Linked DNA regions of Saccharomyces cerevisiae S288C. The gene in region 4 interacts genetically with the main gene of each other region. Each region holds a gene or a part of one and is shown on either strand. Other genes may lie near its edges.

The links.
Region 1: mutations in SKM1 (region 4) and DIA1 together harm fitness more than expected from each alone (negative genetic interaction), as found in Saccharomyces cerevisiae (2 studies listed by BioGRID).
Region 2: mutations in SKM1 (region 4) and HFA1 together harm fitness more than expected from each alone (negative genetic interaction), as found in Saccharomyces cerevisiae (2 studies listed by BioGRID).
Region 3: mutations in SKM1 (region 4) and MET10 together harm fitness more than expected from each alone (negative genetic interaction), as found in Saccharomyces cerevisiae (2 studies listed by BioGRID).

What each region holds. Positions count from the first base shown.
Region 1 is NC_001145.3:903,253-906,353, forward strand, and holds DIA1 (Dia1p), read left to right. Parts: upstream 1-1,572; coding exon 1,573-2,583; downstream 2,584-3,101. Other genes in the region: YMR315W (uncharacterized protein), read left to right, coding at 1-597; YMR315W-A (uncharacterized protein), read left to right, coding at 1,034-1,141; YMR316C-A (uncharacterized protein), read right to left, coding at 2,410-2,721. UniProt on the Saccharomyces cerevisiae protein: Involved in regulation of invasive growth.
Region 2 is NC_001145.3:677,559-685,126, reverse strand, and holds the start of HFA1 (acetyl-CoA carboxylase HFA1), read left to right. Parts: upstream 1-1,562; coding exon 1,563-7,568. Other genes in the region: ERG12 (mevalonate kinase), read right to left, coding at 1-660. UniProt on the Saccharomyces cerevisiae protein: Catalyzes the rate-limiting reaction in the mitochondrial fatty acid synthesis (FAS) type II pathway. Responsible for the production of the mitochondrial malonyl-CoA, used for the biosynthesis of the cofactor lipoic acid.
Region 3 is NC_001138.5:211,529-216,972, forward strand, and holds MET10 (sulfite reductase subunit alpha), read left to right. Parts: upstream 1-1,783; coding exon 1,784-4,891; downstream 4,892-5,444. Other genes in the region: PTR3 (Ptr3p), read left to right, coding at 1-1,445; condensin subunit SMC2, read right to left, coding at 5,066-5,444. UniProt on the Saccharomyces cerevisiae protein: This enzyme catalyzes the 6-electron reduction of sulfite to sulfide. This is one of several activities required for the biosynthesis of L-cysteine from sulfate.
Region 4 is NC_001147.6:102,386-106,811, forward strand, and holds SKM1 (putative serine/threonine protein kinase SKM1), read left to right. Parts: upstream 1-1,940; coding exon 1,941-3,908; downstream 3,909-4,426. Other genes in the region: non-canonical poly(A) polymerase PAP2, read left to right, coding at 1-844; PTH4 (Pth4p), read right to left, coding at 932-1,540; Rab GTPase-activating protein MSB4, read left to right, coding at 4,325-4,426. UniProt on the Saccharomyces cerevisiae protein: May be involved in cellular signaling or cytoskeletal functions. May play a role in morphogenetic control.

The DNA.
Region 1 (3,101 bases), on a different chromosome or scaffold from region 4:
ACCCACAATTCTACCGGTCCATTTGTTACTCAAAATAAATATTTGACCACAACCTGGAGACAAAAACCAGAGCACATTGGCGGATTTCTATCTGATGGTGGTGTCCACCAATTAGCTCTCGTTATTTCCCTACTCGGTGAATTTGGATCTGTTTCTGCATTAACGAGACAGGTGCGTGAACGTTCCGGTGCAGATGATATTGTCTTTGCTACTGTCCAGTTGAAAAATAAAGAGGTTATCGGAAGTTTTACTTATGGGTCTGCCTTTGGTGCTACCGAAAAGTCGGTTTTCTTGAAAGTCTATGGTAAGAATGGTACCGTTACCGTTGACTTATCAGACAAAAAAGACCCCGTTGTAAAAGTCAAATTAGGGGGTTCAGCTGAAGATAACGGTGACGAACAAATTTTTAAAGTCGATAATGATGAAAGTTTCGGCGTCAACGCTGAATTTTTGAATTTTCACGAAGCTGTCAGCAAGAAGGACAAATCCTTATACCTAGGCACACCCAGAACTGCATTTCACCATTTGGCTTGTGTGGACGCGTTTTTAAAATCTTCTGCCAAGAATGGTGACTACGTTAAAATTGAGCAGCCATGATTACCGTTTTACGATGTAACGCTTTTTTAACCTTAATAGATAGATTCCCTCATATATTTATAACTATGTACCCACATAAGTATACTTTTGGAATGATAATACTAACGAGATAAAAAACCGTTGAAAAATTTCTAAGTTTTCTTGAACTAAAAATAGCCAAAATTCTCCATCCACTTGTTGTTGCAAAATGTTACGAAGGCGAGGTTCTTGGAAATCTGGATGATTATGGGAAAATTCGTTCAACAAGAACGCCGAGCCTGGACGAAATACTTAGTCGGCATGGAACTAGTTATGAATGACTTTTCCTATATAAGATCTACAACCGTTTCCAATTCACCATGAGATATATATATGTTTAACGAATCAGGTACTCGTCCGAAGCATTTCGAGTAATGCAACCCCACAAGTGTCCCCCAAGAATTCACTGGGATTTTTGATGACCGAAAGAAAGCTATTGCAGCTGCTACGGCGTCCTTTCATCTCCCTTTCTTTATTCACGGCCTTAAGAGCTTGTCCGCTTCGCCCCAAAAGCCTAATTGCTTAGAGCATGAGAGTTGAAAACGACCAGAAGTGTCGTTTTAGGTAAGCATTCGGCCATAATGAACAGTAAGTTTGTCCGAAAAATACACCGCTAGGGTTCGATAACGAAGAGCGCATATCAATTGCGTTGTCGACTTAATTGCTCTCTTAGTACAACGGTATGTGTCAGTGATAAAATCCTACCGGTTCCACTTTTTGTGAGCGATAGATGACGGAACGTATGCGCCTATTTCTTTTTTTTGGCGCAGCAAGGGACAATGGTCCCTTTTTGAGAAAATGTTGTAGGCTTGGCCATCGGCGTGAACGCATATAAAAAGAAGACTGCCAACATGACAGTATTTGAAACAACTACAGATTTGGCAAAGTTCGCCAAGATAAAGAAGACCGAAGCAGGTGCTAAGCTTCCATTAAAAGTTTTTCAAGAAAAATCTGATTATGGGTTCAATAAGTAGATACCTTCTTAAGAAAGCAGCAGATGGGCTTAAAGATGAGCAGAGATTGAAGATTGAAATGTCCGATAGCAAAAGTGTCCCAGAGTGCTTTCATTTTAATAGGGAAAGAAGAATGCCCATAGCCGAGATAAACGGCGAGGATGGGTTTTTCATGTTTCCGTCTCAGCAATCGCTTGAAAATTTTGAAAACACTAAAAAGTATTCGAATGAGCTGAGTCCAGATGCAATTGGTATTCCATTATTCCAAATTATCAATTGCACTCTACCGTTTGGTAAAAGAGGTCATAGCAATACTGTGGTCGGCAATGTCCCATATTATAAAATTTTCAAATTTATTTTAAGAACGGCAGACGAACCTCCGCCTTATACTGTGGCAAAAATCGTTTGCTCAAACAACGGATTAATATTGTATAAAGTGCCTCTTTACGACATATATAAAAATGTCAGCCAAGCAAACGTAACTTACAGCTTCGTAGGGACTACGTCTACGGAGCCCAACTTACTAGCAATGGCTCACCGAGAAGGACACAGGGATTTGGACACTAAAGTGAATAATTTAAATCTCAGGTGGCATGTCACTTATTCGCCCGTAGTTACCAACGATCATTATAAATTAATTCTGTTAGCAGATTATGAAGTGAATCGTTTGGATGAAGATGTCATTAGAGCCGCTAAAAATAAGATGTCCATCGACCAAAAGGATCAAAAAGTTCAGAGGTTCGTGGCAGCTCATTATACTAGAGAATTTGAAACATCTCTTTTTAGGTGGGTCGCTCAAGAGGGCCACTTAATTCTTGGCGAGTATTCCACAGATCAAGGATCATTTGGATTGAATAATATCCCACCATTGACGGAAGAACTCGGGTGTCAGAGCCTGCTCATACATTACATAGAGTACATGAAGAGACAACGTAAAAAAATTGCGAAAGAGGCAAGGAGACAAAATAAAAGAAACGTTGCAAACACGACTAACATGAACATGAACCTCATGTAACAAAAGTTTGCGTATAATAAACCAGTATAGATGTGTAACTGTAATTTTTAACTTATCACAAGCTCGTTCCCTTCCTGCGTTGAAAAAGCGGGACAATGCCAGAATATAAAAAAAAGAAGAAACTTTAAACCCTGTCATATCTTGTCCGAGATCTCGTCGTTCTTGTTTAATTGATCTTCTTCGTATACTGCCAAAGGTGCCAAGGCACAAAAAAGTTTAAAGTGGCACGGGCTATTGCGTCACATAAAGCCCGTAGCGCAAAAAAGTGATAGCTGACTTCATTAGATCACCAAAATGGAAAAAACTTCGTGAAGATTTCTTTTTATCTTCCTCACAGTTTTTAACTTCCGGGTGTTATACTCTCCGTTTGAAAAGTTGATTTTGTTAACTTTCCTCTTTCCTTTTGGAGTAAAAACAATATCCTCGATAGGCAAGACCTTCCTGCACCGCTATGGCGGCCATTTTGATTTTTCTTTACTGTGGGAAGCAAGAACTTGTTCAGGCGCCTTCCTGGATAA
Region 2 (7,568 bases), on a different chromosome or scaffold from region 4:
ATTATGTGAGTCTTTTTCAAATAGCAGGGCATTACCATAAGTGGCCACAGCGTTATCTATTCCTGAAGGGGTACCGTGAATACACTTTTCACCTATGAAGGCCCATTGATTCACTATATGCTTATCGTTTTCTGACAGCTTTTCCAAGTCATTAGATCCTATTAACCCCCCCAAGTAGGCCATAGCTAAGGCCAGTGATACAGAAATAGAGGCGCTTGAGCCCAACCCAGCACCGATGGGTAAAGTAGACTTTAAAGAAAACTTAATATTCTTGGCATGGGGGCATAGGCAAACAAACATATACAGGAAACAAAACGCTGCATGGTAGTGGAAGGATTCGGATAGTTGAGCTAACAACGGATCCAAAAGACTAACGAGTTCCTGAGACAAGCCATCGGTGGCTTGTTGAGCCTTGGCCAATTTTTGGGAGTTTACTTGATCCTCGGTGATGGCATTGAAATCATTGATGGACCACTTATGATTAAAGCTAATGTCCGGGAAGTCCAATTCAATAGTATCTGGTGCAGATGACTCGCTTATTAGCAGGTAGGTTCTCAACGCAGACACACTAGCAGCGACGGCAGGCTTGTTGTACACAGCAGAGTGTTCACCAAAAATAATAACCTTTCCCGGTGCAGAAGTTAAGAACGGTAATGACATATTGACAGTTTTCTATACGTAGATATAAATTTGCAAGTTAGGACTAAGAAGCGCACCAGCTAACCAGGAAGTAATATCATGGCTAACTAACCTTTATAGGCATATCGTTGTATCGTTCTTCGATACCCTGTCGAAGATTTCAGTGCGACAGCCAAACGAGGCCCGAAAATTGTCAGTACAATTACAACCGATAAAATACACGTTGAGACAAAACTAGCACAAAACGCCTCTTTAAACATAAATGTGTACGCATTCTGAAAGTGAGATAGAGTACAAGGCTATCGCTAGCTTTCCACGGGAGAAGTAGTAGGAACCTCTCTTTTTATTGCTTATGACAGTAATAATAGCATCATTCATCAATGTTTCCGTTAGGGTAACTAAAATGGGTGGGCGGCAGATGACAAGAAAAGATGAATAATGAAGAATGATAAAGAAGAAGTCATCTTGGGTAGAAAGGGAAGACAATTACACACGGCCAAAGCTGGGGGGCTCGCCGGATACATTCTCACTTTTACATTACCATATTCACAATTACTTGCATTCGAATAGGACAGTACAAGCTCGCGTTATATTTGGATCCTTATCGATTCTATAATATAACGGGCAGCCAGATAGTACGGTTGAAAGGACAGCGCCCTGAATACAGAAAACGCATTTTTGCCCATTCGTATAGGCATTCATCTCGAATAGGTTTGAATTTTCCATCTAGAAGAAGGTATTCCAATTATGTGGATCGAGGCAATATTCATAAACATACTCGATTACCGCCCCAGTTCATAGGGCTAAATACTGTGGAAAGTGCCCAACCTTCAATATTAAGAGATTTTGTTGATTTACGTGGTGGACATACTGTTATTTCAAAGATCTTAATAGCAAACAATGGTATTGCTGCGGTGAAAGAAATGAGATCTATAAGAAAATGGGCGTACGAGACGTTCAATGATGAAAAAATCATTCAATTCGTGGTAATGGCGACACCTGATGATTTACACGCAAATTCGGAGTATATTAGAATGGCAGACCAATATGTGCAGGTACCAGGGGGTACCAACAACAACAATTACGCCAACATAGACTTAATACTGGACGTGGCAGAGCAAACGGATGTGGATGCGGTCTGGGCTGGATGGGGCCATGCTTCTGAAAATCCGTGTCTTCCTGAGCTGTTAGCTAGTTCACAAAGGAAAATACTATTCATTGGTCCTCCTGGACGCGCTATGAGATCATTGGGTGACAAGATTTCTTCCACTATTGTAGCACAAAGCGCTAAAATCCCGTGTATCCCTTGGTCTGGTTCACATATAGACACTATCCATATCGATAACAAGACGAACTTTGTATCTGTGCCGGATGATGTATATGTAAGGGGATGTTGTTCCTCACCTGAAGATGCTTTAGAAAAGGCTAAATTAATAGGATTTCCTGTAATGATTAAGGCATCCGAAGGTGGTGGAGGTAAGGGCATTAGGCGAGTAGATAATGAGGATGATTTTATTGCATTATATCGCCAAGCAGTGAATGAGACACCTGGGTCGCCTATGTTTGTTATGAAAGTTGTCACTGATGCTCGTCACTTAGAGGTACAGTTATTAGCTGACCAATATGGCACTAACATTACATTGTTTGGGAGAGACTGTTCCATACAAAGGCGGCACCAAAAGATTATAGAAGAGGCACCAGTGACAATAACCAAGCCTGAAACGTTTCAAAGGATGGAACGCGCAGCAATTCGTCTAGGTGAATTGGTAGGTTATGTTTCTGCGGGCACTGTCGAATACTTATATTCACCAAAAGATGATAAATTTTACTTTTTAGAACTGAATCCGAGACTACAAGTAGAGCATCCAACGACAGAAATGATATCTGGCGTAAACCTTCCTGCCACTCAACTGCAAATCGCCATGGGCATTCCTATGCACATGATAAGTGATATCAGAAAACTTTATGGTTTAGATCCAACGGGAACTTCGTATATTGATTTTAAAAATTTAAAGAGACCCTCGCCAAAAGGCCATTGTATTTCATGCAGGATCACTTCAGAAGATCCTAATGAAGGTTTCAAGCCCTCCACTGGGAAAATACATGAGCTCAATTTTCGTTCTTCTTCCAATGTTTGGGGTTACTTCTCAGTAGGAAATAATGGTGCTATTCACTCATTTTCAGATTCCCAATTTGGGCACATTTTTGCTGTAGGAAACGATAGGCAAGATGCAAAGCAAAACATGGTTTTAGCTCTAAAAGATTTTTCCATCCGAGGAGAATTCAAAACCCCCATAGAGTACCTGATAGAGCTATTAGAAACTCGGGACTTTGAGAGTAATAACATATCGACTGGTTGGTTAGATGATTTGATTTTGAAAAATTTATCTTCCGATAGCAAACTAGATCCAACGCTCGCTATTATCTGTGGTGCCGCAATGAAAGCATACGTTTTCACAGAAAAGGTGAGGAATAAGTATTTGGAATTATTGCGGAGGGGCCAAGTTCCACCTAAAGATTTTCTTAAAACGAAGTTTCCTGTTGACTTCATTTTCGATAATAATAGATACTTGTTCAATGTTGCTCAATCATCTGAAGAACAATTTATTCTTTCTATCAATAAGTCTCAATGTGAAGTTAATGTTCAAAAATTGTCCAGTGACTGCTTGTTGATCTCCGTTGACGGTAAATGCCATACAGTTTATTGGAAGGACGATATCAGAGGTACAAGACTTTCGATAGACTCCAATACCATATTTTTAGAAGCTGAACTCAATCCCACTCAAGTGATCTCTCCAACTCCGGGGAAATTGGTGAAATATTTGGTCCGAAGTGGTGATCACGTTTTTGCTGGACAGCAATATGCAGAAATAGAAATAATGAAAATGCAGATGCCACTAGTAGCGAAAAGTGATGGTGTAATTGAGTTACTAAGACAGCCCGGTTCCATAATTGAGGCTGGTGATGTCATCGCAAAATTGACTTTGGATTCGCCGTCCAAAGCTAACGAATCGTCTTTATACCGCGGAGAATTACCTGTTTTAGGTCCACCGCTAATAGAGGGTAGCCGACCAAACCATAAGCTCAGAGTCTTAATAAATAGGTTAGAAAATATTCTCAATGGATATCATGAAAACTCTGGAATAGAAACTACTCTAAAAGAGTTGATAAAAATATTGAGAGATGGTAGGCTTCCTTATTCAGAATGGGATTCCCAAATTTCTACGGTACGCAATAGACTACCAAGGCAATTGAATGAGGGGCTGGGAAATCTAGTCAAGAAATCTGTTTCTTTTCCTGCAAAGGAACTGCACAAATTAATGAAGCGCTACTTGGAAGAAAATACAAATGATCATGTAGTTTATGTTGCCTTACAGCCACTTCTTAAAATTAGTGAAAGGTATAGCGAAGGTTTAGCTAATCACGAATGTGAAATTTTTTTAAAGTTGATTAAAAAGTACTATGCTGTTGAGAAAATTTTTGAAAATCATGATATACATGAAGAAAGAAACTTACTAAATCTGCGGAGGAAAGACCTTACAAACTTGAAAAAAATTTTGTGCATAAGTTTATCGCATGCTAACGTAGTCGCAAAGAACAAGTTAGTAACTGCAATATTGCATGAATACGAGCCATTGTGCCAGGATTCCTCTAAGATGTCTTTAAAATTCAGGGCTGTTATACATGATTTGGCAAGTTTGGAATCTAAGTGGGCTAAAGAGGTTGCTGTAAAGGCAAGATCAGTGCTACTCAGAGGGATTTTCCCTCCCATAAAGAAAAGAAAAGAGCATATTAAAACTCTCCTGCAATTGCACATAAAGGATACTGGTGCCGAAAACATTCACAGCAGGAACATATATTCCTGTATGAGGGATTTTGGTAATTTAATACATTCAAATCTGATACAACTTCAGGATTTGTTCTTTTTTTTTGGCCATCAAGATACGGCTCTTTCCAGTATAGCATCTGAAATTTATGCAAGGTATGCCTACGGCAATTATCAATTAAAAAGTATTAAGATTCATAAAGGAGCGCCTGATTTACTAATGTCATGGCAATTCAGCTCATTAAGAAATTATTTAGTCAATTCTGATGGTGAGAGTGATGAGTTTACAAAACTTTCTAAACCTCCCTCAACATCAGGTAAGAGCTCAGCAAATAGTTTTGGTCTTCTTGTCAACATGCGTGCGCTTGAATCTCTGGAAAAGACATTAGACGAGGTATACGAACAAATTCATATTCCTGAGGAAAGACTTTCCAGCGGAGAGAACTCTCTTATTGTTAATATTTTATCTCCTATTCGTTACAGAAGTGAAAATGATCTAATTAAAACTTTAAAAATTAAACTTCATGAAAATGAGAGAGGTCTATCCAAGCTCAAGGTTAATCGTATTACATTTGCATTTATCGCCGCGAATGCGCCCGCTGTTAAATTTTACTCCTTTGATGGAACTACGTACGATGAAATCTCTCAAATAAGAAATATGGATCCATCCTATGAAGCACCGTTAGAGTTAGGAAAAATGTCGAACTATAAAATCAGATCACTACCTACATACGATAGTAGTATACGCATTTTTGAAGGTATTAGCAAATTTACGCCGCTAGATAAAAGGTTCTTTGTCAGGAAAATCATAAATTCCTTCATGTATAATGATCAAAAAACAACCGAAGAAAACTTGAAAGCGGAAATCAATGCTCAAGTGGTTTATATGTTAGAACATCTAGGAGCAGTTGACATCTCAAATTCAGACTTGAATCATATTTTTTTAAGTTTCAATACAGTTCTTAACATACCAGTACATCGTCTCGAGGAAATTGTGAGTACAATTCTAAAGACTCACGAAACCAGATTGTTTCAAGAAAGAATCACAGATGTAGAAATTTGCATCTCTGTTGAGTGCCTAGAAACAAAGAAGCCAGCCCCGCTTAGATTACTTATTTCTAATAAATCTGGGTATGTGGTAAAAATTGAGACATATTACGAAAAGATAGGGAAAAATGGGAATCTGATTTTGGAACCGTGTAGTGAGCAGAGCCATTATAGCCAGAAATCTCTCTCTCTTCCTTACTCGGTCAAGGATTGGCTACAACCTAAAAGGTACAAAGCTCAATTCATGGGTACAACATATGTGTACGATTTCCCAGGTCTGTTTCATCAAGCTGCAATCCAACAGTGGAAAAGGTATTTTCCAAAACATAAGCTGAATGACAGTTTTTTTAGTTGGGTTGAATTGATAGAACAAAACGGTAATTTAATAAAAGTAAACAGGGAGCCAGGCCTTAATAATATAGGGATGGTTGCTTTTGAGATTATGGTTCAGACACCTGAATATCCTGAAGGGCGTAACATGATCGTGATTTCTAATGATATTACCTACAATATTGGATCTTTTGGACCGAGAGAAGATTTGTTTTTTGATAGGGTCACAAATTATGCAAGAGAGAGAGGGATCCCGAGGATATACTTGGCGGCGAATTCAGGAGCTAAATTGGGTATAGCCGAAGAGCTGATCCCTCTATTTCGTGTAGCATGGAATGACCCCTCTGATCCAACAAAGGGTTTCCAGTACTTATACTTAGCTCCAAAAGACATGCAGCTACTGAAAGATTCTGGGAAAGGAAATTCGGTTGTTGTTGAACACAAGATGGTATACGGTGAAGAGAGATATATTATTAAAGCAATAGTCGGATTCGAAGAGGGTTTAGGTGTTGAATGTTTACAGGGCTCGGGTTTAATTGCTGGTGCCACTTCGAAAGCGTATAGAGACATTTTCACTATTACTGCTGTTACTTGTCGGTCCGTTGGTATAGGTTCCTATCTGGTCAGACTAGGACAACGTACTATTCAGGTGGAGGATAAGCCTATCATACTGACGGGTGCATCGGCGATTAATAAAGTTTTGGGTACCGATATCTATACATCTAACCTACAAATTGGCGGAACCCAAATCATGTATAAAAACGGAATAGCGCATTTAACAGCCAGTAATGATATGAAAGCCATCGAAAAAATAATGACATGGTTATCATATGTCCCGGCGAAAAGAGATATGAGTCCTCCACTTCTTGAAACTATGGATAGATGGGATAGGGATGTAGACTTCAAACCTGCCAAGCAAGTGCCATATGAGGCAAGGTGGTTGATAGAGGGTAAATGGGACTCAAATAACAACTTCCAGTCAGGCCTATTTGATAAGGATTCGTTTTTTGAGACATTATCTGGATGGGCCAAAGGTGTAATAGTTGGAAGAGCACGTCTTGGAGGTATTCCCGTGGGTGTTATTGCGGTAGAAACTAAGACTATCGAAGAAATAATCCCCGCTGACCCAGCTAATCTGGATTCTTCAGAGTTTTCCGTTAAAGAAGCAGGACAGGTGTGGTATCCAAATTCCGCGTTCAAAACAGCTCAAACTATAAATGATTTTAACTATGGTGAGCAATTACCATTGATTATCTTAGCCAATTGGAGGGGATTTTCTGGCGGTCAAAGGGATATGTACAATGAAGTACTAAAGTACGGGTCTTTTATTGTTGACGCTCTGGTTGACTACAAACAACCCATACTGATATACATTCCGCCCTTTGGTGAATTAAGGGGCGGATCATGGGTTGTTATAGATCCAACTATTAATCCTGAACAAATGGAAATGTATGCCGATGTTGAATCTAGGGGAGGTGTGTTAGAACCTGACGGAGTAGTTAGCATAAAATACCGTAAGGAGAAAATGATAGAGACGATGATTCGATTAGACTCCACATATGGACATTTGAGAAGAACGTTGACAGAAAAAAAGTTATCTTTGGAAAAACAAAATGATCTTACGAAGAGATTGAAAATAAGAGAGAGACAGTTGATACCAATTTACAATCAAATCAGCATACAGTTTGCAGATTTACATGATAGATCGACTAGGATGCTAGTTAAA
Region 3 (5,444 bases), on a different chromosome or scaffold from region 4:
AAGAACACACCACTAAGGAGAATTACTCAAGCAGCTTACTCGAGCCCAACTATGACGACCACGCGAACTGGAAAATCCTGGATAATGCCTCGAACACAAGAACTGTGCCGATAGATAACAACTTCTCTTTGATGTCTACGGACGTTACAATACCTTCCACAGCAAACTACCAAACAAATAGTGCACATGATCTGGACGAAGAAAAGGAGTACTTTTTTGCCAACTGTTTCCCCATGTACAGAAAAAAATTTCAGTTCAACACACACCCCAAATTCCTAGGGACGAAATCCAAATTATTCATCAACCAAAGCATTTCTCCCGATTGCACCAAATTTGCTCTAATTACTGAACACAAGTGGGAAATTTATTCGATTAATCCGAAGGACAACTCTCCTCAACTAGTATCATGTGGCAAGTCTAGTGGAGAATATGGTCCCAACTTCAACCAACTAACAGAGCAATCGTCATCTTCACTCTCCACTACTTCTCAAGCGTCAAAAAAGAAAAAGAAAAACTGGAGCCAACGTTTTTGCAAACTTTCCAATGATTTCTTGATAATATCGGGTTCGCAAAACATTCTTAATGTACACGACATACACCAAAACGGCAAACTCATCTATACCTACGTGTCGAGATTCCCCATCCGATGCATAGACATAGATCCAAGGTCGCAGATAATAGCCTACGGAATCACCGGAAAGGATAGACATACAGGCGCGGAACAAGCATTAGTCGTGATCCAACAAATTACCAGAAATAAAGTGACTTTGGAGCCCGAGTTCCCCCCACCAATCACCATAACACTTCCATACAGAGATCCCATCAATACCATACAACTTTCGCACGACGCCAAGTATCTGACATGTTCGACCGCGCTAGAGTCGCGGTTCTTGATCATATCTTTGCAGAAAATAAACGAACCAAGACTGATAATGAAAAGTGTTCGGTCCATAGACACTTCCTTAGAATCTGAAGGTATCACTGACACAAAACTTTTCCCAGGAAATCCAAATCTGATGTGTATCACATCAACAGCATTCAATTCATCTCCACTGGTCATAAACACCAAAATCACCCAAATTAACGGTGTACGGACCGTGGCACAACCATCCATGCTTATAAGGGTAGATGAGATTGGATGCAAGATTCACAAGTGCGAAATATCACCAAGAAACGACGCAATTGCCTTCCTCGACCGCAACGGATCAGTTTACATCATGTGTGCCCCCACCATGATGGACAACAACGAAAAAAGAAGGACAATCCTCGTTGAAACCGTGGCAAATGCCTACAGGGCTTATGAATCAGCTACTTTGCGGTTTAACCCAGAGGGCAACAAGCTTTATATTCTCGACAGAAAGGGGACTTTCTTTGTGGAAGACTTTGCATATGGCTTGCCCCAATCTCGCGAAATCACCAAATGTAAGCAAATATTCCACAAATAATGCATCTAAATATATACGTATGTTTAAGGTTCTGGTATACAGGTATTAAAAGAAAACACTATCAACATTCCCAATAAGATATACCACACCACGTGAGCTTATAGAAGCACGTGACCACAATTCACCCCACAGGTGTGGCTTTTTTGGTGCCGTAGAAAAGACTCATTCATGAATCGTCGGAAACCCATAGTCATCTTCGAGCAAAAGGTATATATAAGCAACAGAGGGCAGTAGTTCTCGAGACCACCATCTTTTGATTGGAAATAGTTTCGTTTAGATGGGGTGCACATAGTTTTTTTCAACTGCTTTTCCTCGAGGTCACCCAAATATACAACGAGATGCCAGTTGAGTTTGCTACCAATCCTTTTGGCGAGGCCAAAAATGCAACTTCACTGCCAAAATATGGTACACCCGTAACTGCCATTTCATCTGTGCTGTTCAATAACGTGGACTCCATTTTTGCTTACAAGTCCTTTTCTCAACCCGATTTGCTACACCAAGATCTAAAAAAATGGTCTGAAAAGCGTGGTAACGAATCACGTGGGAAGCCATTTTTCCAAGAGCTGGATATCAGATCTGGCGCTGGTTTGGCTCCTTTAGGGTTTTCTCATGGATTGAAGAACACTACAGCAATTGTTGCTCCAGGGTTTTCGCTGCCATACTTCATTAACTCTTTGAAAACCGTCTCTCATGATGGTAAGTTTCTTTTGAATGTTGGTGCTTTAAACTACGACAATGCTACCGGCTCTGTCACCAACGATTATGTAACCGCATTGGATGCTGCTTCCAAGCTGAAGTATGGTGTCGTGACTCCGATTTCCGCTAACGAGGTACAAAGTGTCGCCTTACTGGCATTGGCGATTGCCACTTTCAGTAATAACTCCGGAGCTATCAATTTATTTGACGGATTAAACTACTCGAAAACCGTCTTGCCGTTGGTCGAATCTGTTCCTGAGGCATCTATTTTGGCAAAACTATCCAAAGTTATTGCACCAGATGCTGCCTTTGATGATGTCTTGGATAAGTTTAATGAATTGACTGGATTGAGACTACATAATTTCCAATACTTTGGTGCTCAGGATGCTGAAACTGTGTTTATCACTTATGGGTCTTTAGAATCCGAATTGTTCAACTCTGCGATTAGTGGTAATAATTCCAAAATCGGGTTAATCAACGTCAGAGTGCCATTACCTTTTAACGTTGCTAAGTTTGTCACTCACGTTCCATCCACTACCAAACAAATTGTTGTTATAGGCCAAACTTTGGATGGTTCTTCGCCTTCTTTCTTGAGATCTCAAGTTTCAGCCGCCTTATTTTACCACGGCCGCACCTCAATTAGCGTTTCTGAGTACATCTATCAACCAGATTTCATTTGGTCCCCAAAAGCTGTCAAATCAATTGTATCGTCATTCATCCCTGAATTCACTTACAATGCCGATTCATCTTTCGGCGAAGGATTCATTTATTGGGCCTCTGATAAGAGTATCAATATTGATGTTGCCTCCAAACTTGTGAAAGCTCTGTCTTTGGAAGATGGGAAATTTGTGTCTTTGAGAACGAAATTTGATAACTTGGCTAATGCTGGTACCTTCCAAGCTCAATTTGTGACCTCGAAAGAACAGATACCTGTTTCAAACATCGATTCTACGAAATTATCAGTCGTTGAAGATGTCAGTTTATTGAAGCATTTAGACGTAGCTGCTACCGTCGCAGAACAAGGTTCAATTGCGTTGGTTTCCCAAAAGGCAGTTAAAGATTTGGATTTAAATTCTGTAGAAAGTTACGTCAAGAATTTGGGAATTCCTGAATCATTCCTAATATCTATTGCGAAGAAAAACATCAAATTGTTTATCATCGATGGTGAGACCACTAACGACGAGTCCAAATTGTCCTTGTTTATCCAAGCCGTTTTCTGGAAATTGGCCTTCGGTCTAGATGTCGCAGAATGTACCAACCGTATCTGGAAAAGCATTGATTCAGGTGCAGACATTTCAGCAGCCTCGATTTCTGAATTTCTCACTGGTGCATTCAAAAACTTCCTCAGTGAGGTTCCGCTAGCGCTGTACACTAAATTTTCTGAAATAAACATTGAAAAGAAAGAGGATGAGGAAGAGCCTGCAGCTTTACCAATTTTCGTTAATGAAACATCTTTCCTCCCAAATAACAGTACCATTGAAGAAATACCATTACCTGAGACCTCTGAGATCTCTGATATTGCCAAGAAGTTGTCCTTCAAAGAGGCATATGAAGTTGAGAATAAACTAAGACCCGATTTACCCGTCAAGAACTTCGTCGTGAAAGTTAAAGAAAATAGACGTGTTACGCCTGCTGATTATGATAGATATATTTTCCATATTGAATTCGATATTTCTGGTACTGGAATGACTTATGACATCGGTGAAGCCCTCGGTATTCATGCCAGAAACAATGAATCTTTGGTCAAAGAATTCTTAACCTTCTATGGTCTAAATGAATCCGATGTTGTCTTAGTCCCCAACAAGGACAACCACCATTTGTTAGAAACAAGAACCGTCTTACAAGCATTTGTGGAAAATTTGGATATTTTCGGTAAACCACCAAAAAGATTTTACGAATCATTGATTCCATATGCCTCTAACGAAGAGGAGAAGAAAAAATTAGAGGATTTGGTTACTCCTGCCGGTGCAGTAGATTTGAAGAGATTTCAAGATGTGGAGTATTATACATATGCTGACATTTTTGAATTGTTCCCATCTGTTCGCCCATCTCTTGAGGAACTTGTTACTATCATTGAACCATTGAAGAGAAGAGAATACTCAATTGCCTCCTCTCAGAAAGTTCATCCAAATGAAGTTCATTTATTGATCGTTGTTGTTGATTGGGTGGATAATAAAGGAAGAAAAAGGTACGGTCAAGCTTCTAAGTATATCTCAGACCTTGCTGTCGGTTCAGAATTGGTCGTTAGCGTTAAACCATCTGTTATGAAATTACCACCATCTCCAAAGCAACCAGTTATTATGAGTGGTTTAGGTACTGGTTTGGCACCATTCAAGGCCATTGTTGAAGAGAAATTATGGCAAAAGCAGCAAGGTTATGAGATTGGTGAAGTCTTCCTATATCTAGGTTCAAGACACAAAAGAGAAGAATATTTATATGGTGAGTTATGGGAGGCTTACAAAGATGCAGGTATTATCACACACATCGGCGCTGCTTTCTCAAGAGACCAACCTCAAAAAATTTACATTCAAGATCGTATCAAAGAGAATTTGGATGAATTAAAAACTGCAATGATTGATAATAAAGGTTCATTTTACTTGTGTGGCCCTACTTGGCCAGTTCCAGATATTACTCAAGCTTTGCAAGACATTCTGGCTAAAGACGCCGAGGAAAGAGGCATCAAAGTCGACTTGGATGCCGCAATTGAAGAATTAAAGGAAGCATCAAGATACATTTTAGAAGTCTACTAAATTAATATAGTAATAAAAACTAAATATCTATTTATTGAACCTGTCTTGAACATTTCTATTTTTTTTTTACTTTTAGTTTTCTTCTATGCGCAAGCTTTTCTATTGGCTGCCAAATAGAAAATTATTGAAATATGATTACATTACAATATTTATTTGTCTTATGAAAACTAACCATCACATTATACTAACTACGGAGGTACCATCTTGAAATCTCGTCCTGAAGACCCTATTAGCATTGGCAAACATACCTTCTTTAAGCGAGACTACAATGAACTGAGATCCTTTAAACCTTGTTTTAATCAAATGACCTATATTTTGCGTATGACTTAAATCAAGAGCAGCATCAACTTCATCCAAAATATACATAGGCGCTGGTCGAAATTGCAACAATGCCATAATCAATGACAAAGCAATCAACGACCTTTGCCCACCGGACAATTCAATCAAACTTTCCTTCCATATATTACCAAGCTTTACTTTAACCTCTAAACCCTGCGTTACGTCCTTACCTTCGCATGGAACCAATTTTGCAAATGAATTTGGTAAAAGGTCT
Region 4 (4,426 bases):
AGCAAAGCTTATTAGAGAGTGGTTGGACGATACCCCCGGCCTGAGAGAATTAGTCCTTATCGTAAAACAATTCCTACACGCAAGAAGACTAAATAATGTGCATACCGGTGGTCTTGGTGGGTTTAGTATTATATGTCTTGTCTTTTCCTTTTTGCATATGCACCCACGTATAATAACTAACGAAATAGATCCAAAGGACAACTTGGGTGTGCTCCTGATAGAGTTTTTTGAACTTTATGGGAAAAATTTTGGTTATGATGATGTTGCACTGGGATCATCGGATGGATATCCAGTATACTTTCCAAAATCGACATGGAGTGCTATTCAGCCTATTAAAAATCCATTTTCATTGGCCATTCAAGATCCAGGTGATGAATCAAATAACATCAGTCGAGGGTCCTTTAACATTCGAGATATTAAAAAGGCATTTGCTGGTGCTTTTGATCTGTTGACGAATAGATGTTTTGAATTACATTCAGCAACTTTTAAGGATCGATTGGGGAAAAGTATATTGGGAAACGTGATCAAATATCGTGGAAAGGCAAGAGATTTCAAGGATGAAAGAGGTCTAGTACTGAATAAGGCTATTATTGAAAATGAAAACTATCACAAGAAACGTAGCAGAATAATTCATGATGAAGATTTTGCCGAAGATACAGTTACCTCCACAGCCACCGCTACCACAACAGATGATGATTATGAAATAACGAACCCACCTGCTAAGAAGGCTAAAATAGAAGAAAAACCTGAAAGTGAACCGGCCAAGAGAAATAGTGGAGAGACATATATCACTGTCTCTAGCGAAGATGATGATGAAGATGGATATAATCCTTATACCCTTTAATATGTGCCTTTTTGTTTAAATGATGCACTGAACTGTACATCACTGTGTACCTGGATAGAATGTGTGTTTAAATATGCGTATTATGTATTAATAATTGAATTTAATTTTACTTCTGTTTTTCTTTTTATCGCTGTGAACTTTTTTGTCAAGAAGTCGCTCTTTGTTGGCTTTCTCTTTTATTTTATTCCATTTCTTTGAGGTCTCAGCAGTGGTATCATTAGGAAATTGGCACGTTTGCCGAATTTCTTGAACCAACTTCTCGAAGCATTTTAATTTGTTGGTTTCCCTTGACCTAGTTTCATCAGATTGAATTACTATAGAATCGCTGCCCTTAGCGTAGTATCGAAACCTGCCGCTACTTAAGATGTTTCTCACTTCCTGAGGAATCCAAGCACAGTTTGATAAACCAGAAAGTGTCAAAGTACATTTACTATTTACCTTATTAACGTTTTGGCCTCCTGGCCCGCTGGCTCTATCGTAACGTAAAATAAATTGATTTAAGGGCAAGCCCGTTACGTTAAGTGCTCCTACCCAGTTTCTTGCCTGGACGAAGTCAGATTTCTTTCCGATCTTTTTATTACTAATCAATCTGACTGCCTCTTCAACGAACTGTTGTTTCTTGCAGTGCAACATTGGTTGAAGTACAAACAGAGGGGAGCGCCCAGTAAGTTTAAACTTTCCCATCAATGTTGTCATATGATATTTCTTGGCGTGTTTCCCTTCAATTTACTGAAAGGCAAACAGTAATGTTAAGGATTCTGTTGTTTTTTTTTACCGTATACGCTTGATTTCGTCAGCCCCTTGGAAGACACGAAATGTTGACTATCCGCTTCCAGATCTGGTAAAAGATTGATTTGCGATAATTCCTGTTGTTGTCATCACGGGTGTTATGGTTTGTTGTAAACTAAAAAAAGAATGAAGGAACAGGACGCAGATTCATCTAATCAAGTTCTGTGGGGAGGTCCCCAGTGGTAAGTGAATAAATATTCGCTTTATGAAGACCTACACCTGGTTTTCTCAATGGATCAGACGATAAGTACAATTTTTGTAGAGCTATACTCGAGGACAATCAGACAAAACGAAAGAATATCTTTCGATGAAGGGCGTAAAAAAGGAAGGATGGATATCTTATAAAGTTGATGGATTGTTTTCGTTCTTATGGCAAAAGAGATACTTGGTACTGAATGATTCGTATTTAGCATTTTACAAAAGTGATAAGTGCAATGAGGAACCAGTCTTATCTGTGCCTTTGACTAGTATAACAAATGTTAGCAGAATACAATTGAAACAAAATTGTTTTGAGATTCTTCGGGCAACAGATCAAAAAGAGAACATATCCCCCATAAACTCCTACTTTTATGAATCAAATTCCAAAAGATCGATATTCATTTCCACAAGAACCGAACGGGATTTGCATGGCTGGCTTGATGCCATTTTTGCCAAATGTCCTCTCCTTAGTGGTGTTTCATCACCAACAAATTTTACACACAAAGTACACGTTGGGTTCGACCCAAAAGTGGGAAACTTTGTTGGAGTACCTGATAGTTGGGCTAAACTACTACAAACCTCAGAAATTACGTACGACGATTGGAACAGAAACTCAAAAGCTGTTATTAAAGCACTGCAATTTTATGAAGATTACAATGGACTGGACACAATGCAATTCAATGATCACCTCAACACAAGCTTAGACTTGAAACCTTTAAAAAGTCCGACAAGGTATATTATAAACAAGAGGACTAATTCCATCAAGAGATCAGTAAGTAGGACGCTCCGAAAAGGCAAAACAGATTCCATTTTACCCGTCTATCAATCAGAACTTAAACCATTCCCAAGGCCTAGTGATGATGATTATAAGTTTACCAACATAGAGGACAATAAAGTACGCGAAGAAGGCAGGGTGCATGTTAGTAAAGAAAGCACGGCAGATTCCCAGACAAAGCAGTTAGGAAAGAAGGAACAGAAAGTCATTCAAAGCCATCTGCGAAGGCATGATAATAATTCAACATTTAGACCTCATCGACTAGCACCATCTGCACCTGCTACAAAAAATCATGATAGTAAAACTAAATGGCATAAGGAGGATCTCCTTGAACTTAAGAATAATGATGATTCGAATGAAATAATAATGAAGATGAAAACTGTTGCAATTGATGTAAACCCAAGACCGTATTTCCAACTGGTAGAAAAGGCTGGTCAAGGAGCAAGTGGTGCAGTATACCTGTCAAAGCGAATAAAATTACCTCAAGAAAATGACCCGAGATTCTTGAAATCACATTGCCACCGAGTCGTAGGCGAAAGAGTGGCCATTAAGCAGATACGTTTATCTGAACAACCAAAGAAACAATTGATTATGAATGAACTCCTAGTGATGAATGATTCGCGCCAAGAAAATATCGTTAATTTCCTTGAAGCCTATATTATTGATGACGAAGAGTTATGGGTGATAATGGAGTACATGGAAGGTGGCTGCTTAACAGATATATTGGATGCTGTAGCAAGGAGCAATACCGGTGAGCACTCATCGCCGTTAAACGAAAACCAAATGGCATATATAGTAAAAGAGACGTGCCAAGGTTTGAAGTTTTTGCATAACAAGAAAATTATCCATCGAGATATCAAATCTGATAATATCCTTCTGAATTCCCAAGGGTTAGTGAAAATTACAGACTTCGGTTTTTGTGTGGAATTAACAGAAAAAAGAAGCAAGCGTGCCACAATGGTAGGTACTCCATATTGGATGGCACCTGAAATAGTGAATCAAAAGGGATATGATGAAAAAGTCGACGTTTGGTCTCTAGGGATAATGCTTATTGAGATGATAGAAGGTGAACCGCCTTACCTAAATGAGGATCCTTTGAAGGCGCTGTATCTGATAGCTAACAACGGTTCACCAAAATTGCGTCATCCAGAGTCAGTGTCCAAGCAAACCAAACAATTCTTAGATGCCTGTTTGCAAGTGAATGTCGAATCAAGAGCATCCGTGAGAAAACTACTAACGTTTGAATTTTTGTCAATGGCATGCAGCCCTGAGCAGCTCAAAGTATCCTTAAAGTGGCATTGAAATTTAGCTTTTTTTTATTTAGGAGAAACAATATATATATATATGTATATACGTATGTATGATTCATATTTTAATCGCATTTTTATTTCATCTAAAACAATTACTCTTTTTGATTATTTATAGAAAAAAAACAACAATGATACGTTTGCTTCGCGTTATGTCAATAGAAAATGTAAAAGGAAAAAGAATGTGTTGCTATTCGTTAGGCGGATTTACGGATGGAAGACATATCTATGAACTGAGCTTACAAACGCTTTTAGCGGGGACAGTTAATCATTTTACGGATGATTTTATAAGAATAAACTATTTTTGAAAAGTTAGGATAGTATTTTGTACATTTGGCACCGAAGTAATTCAAAATCGAGGAAGACTCGCACACTTTTACAATCACAGAAGGCAAAACCCGGCATGACAGGATGATAATGTCATCAACTATGTCGACAGAAGCCGCCTTGGTACCGAACGAAAGTGTTTTTGACACAGTTTCGTCATTCAACGAAGACGATGCCAATTATAGC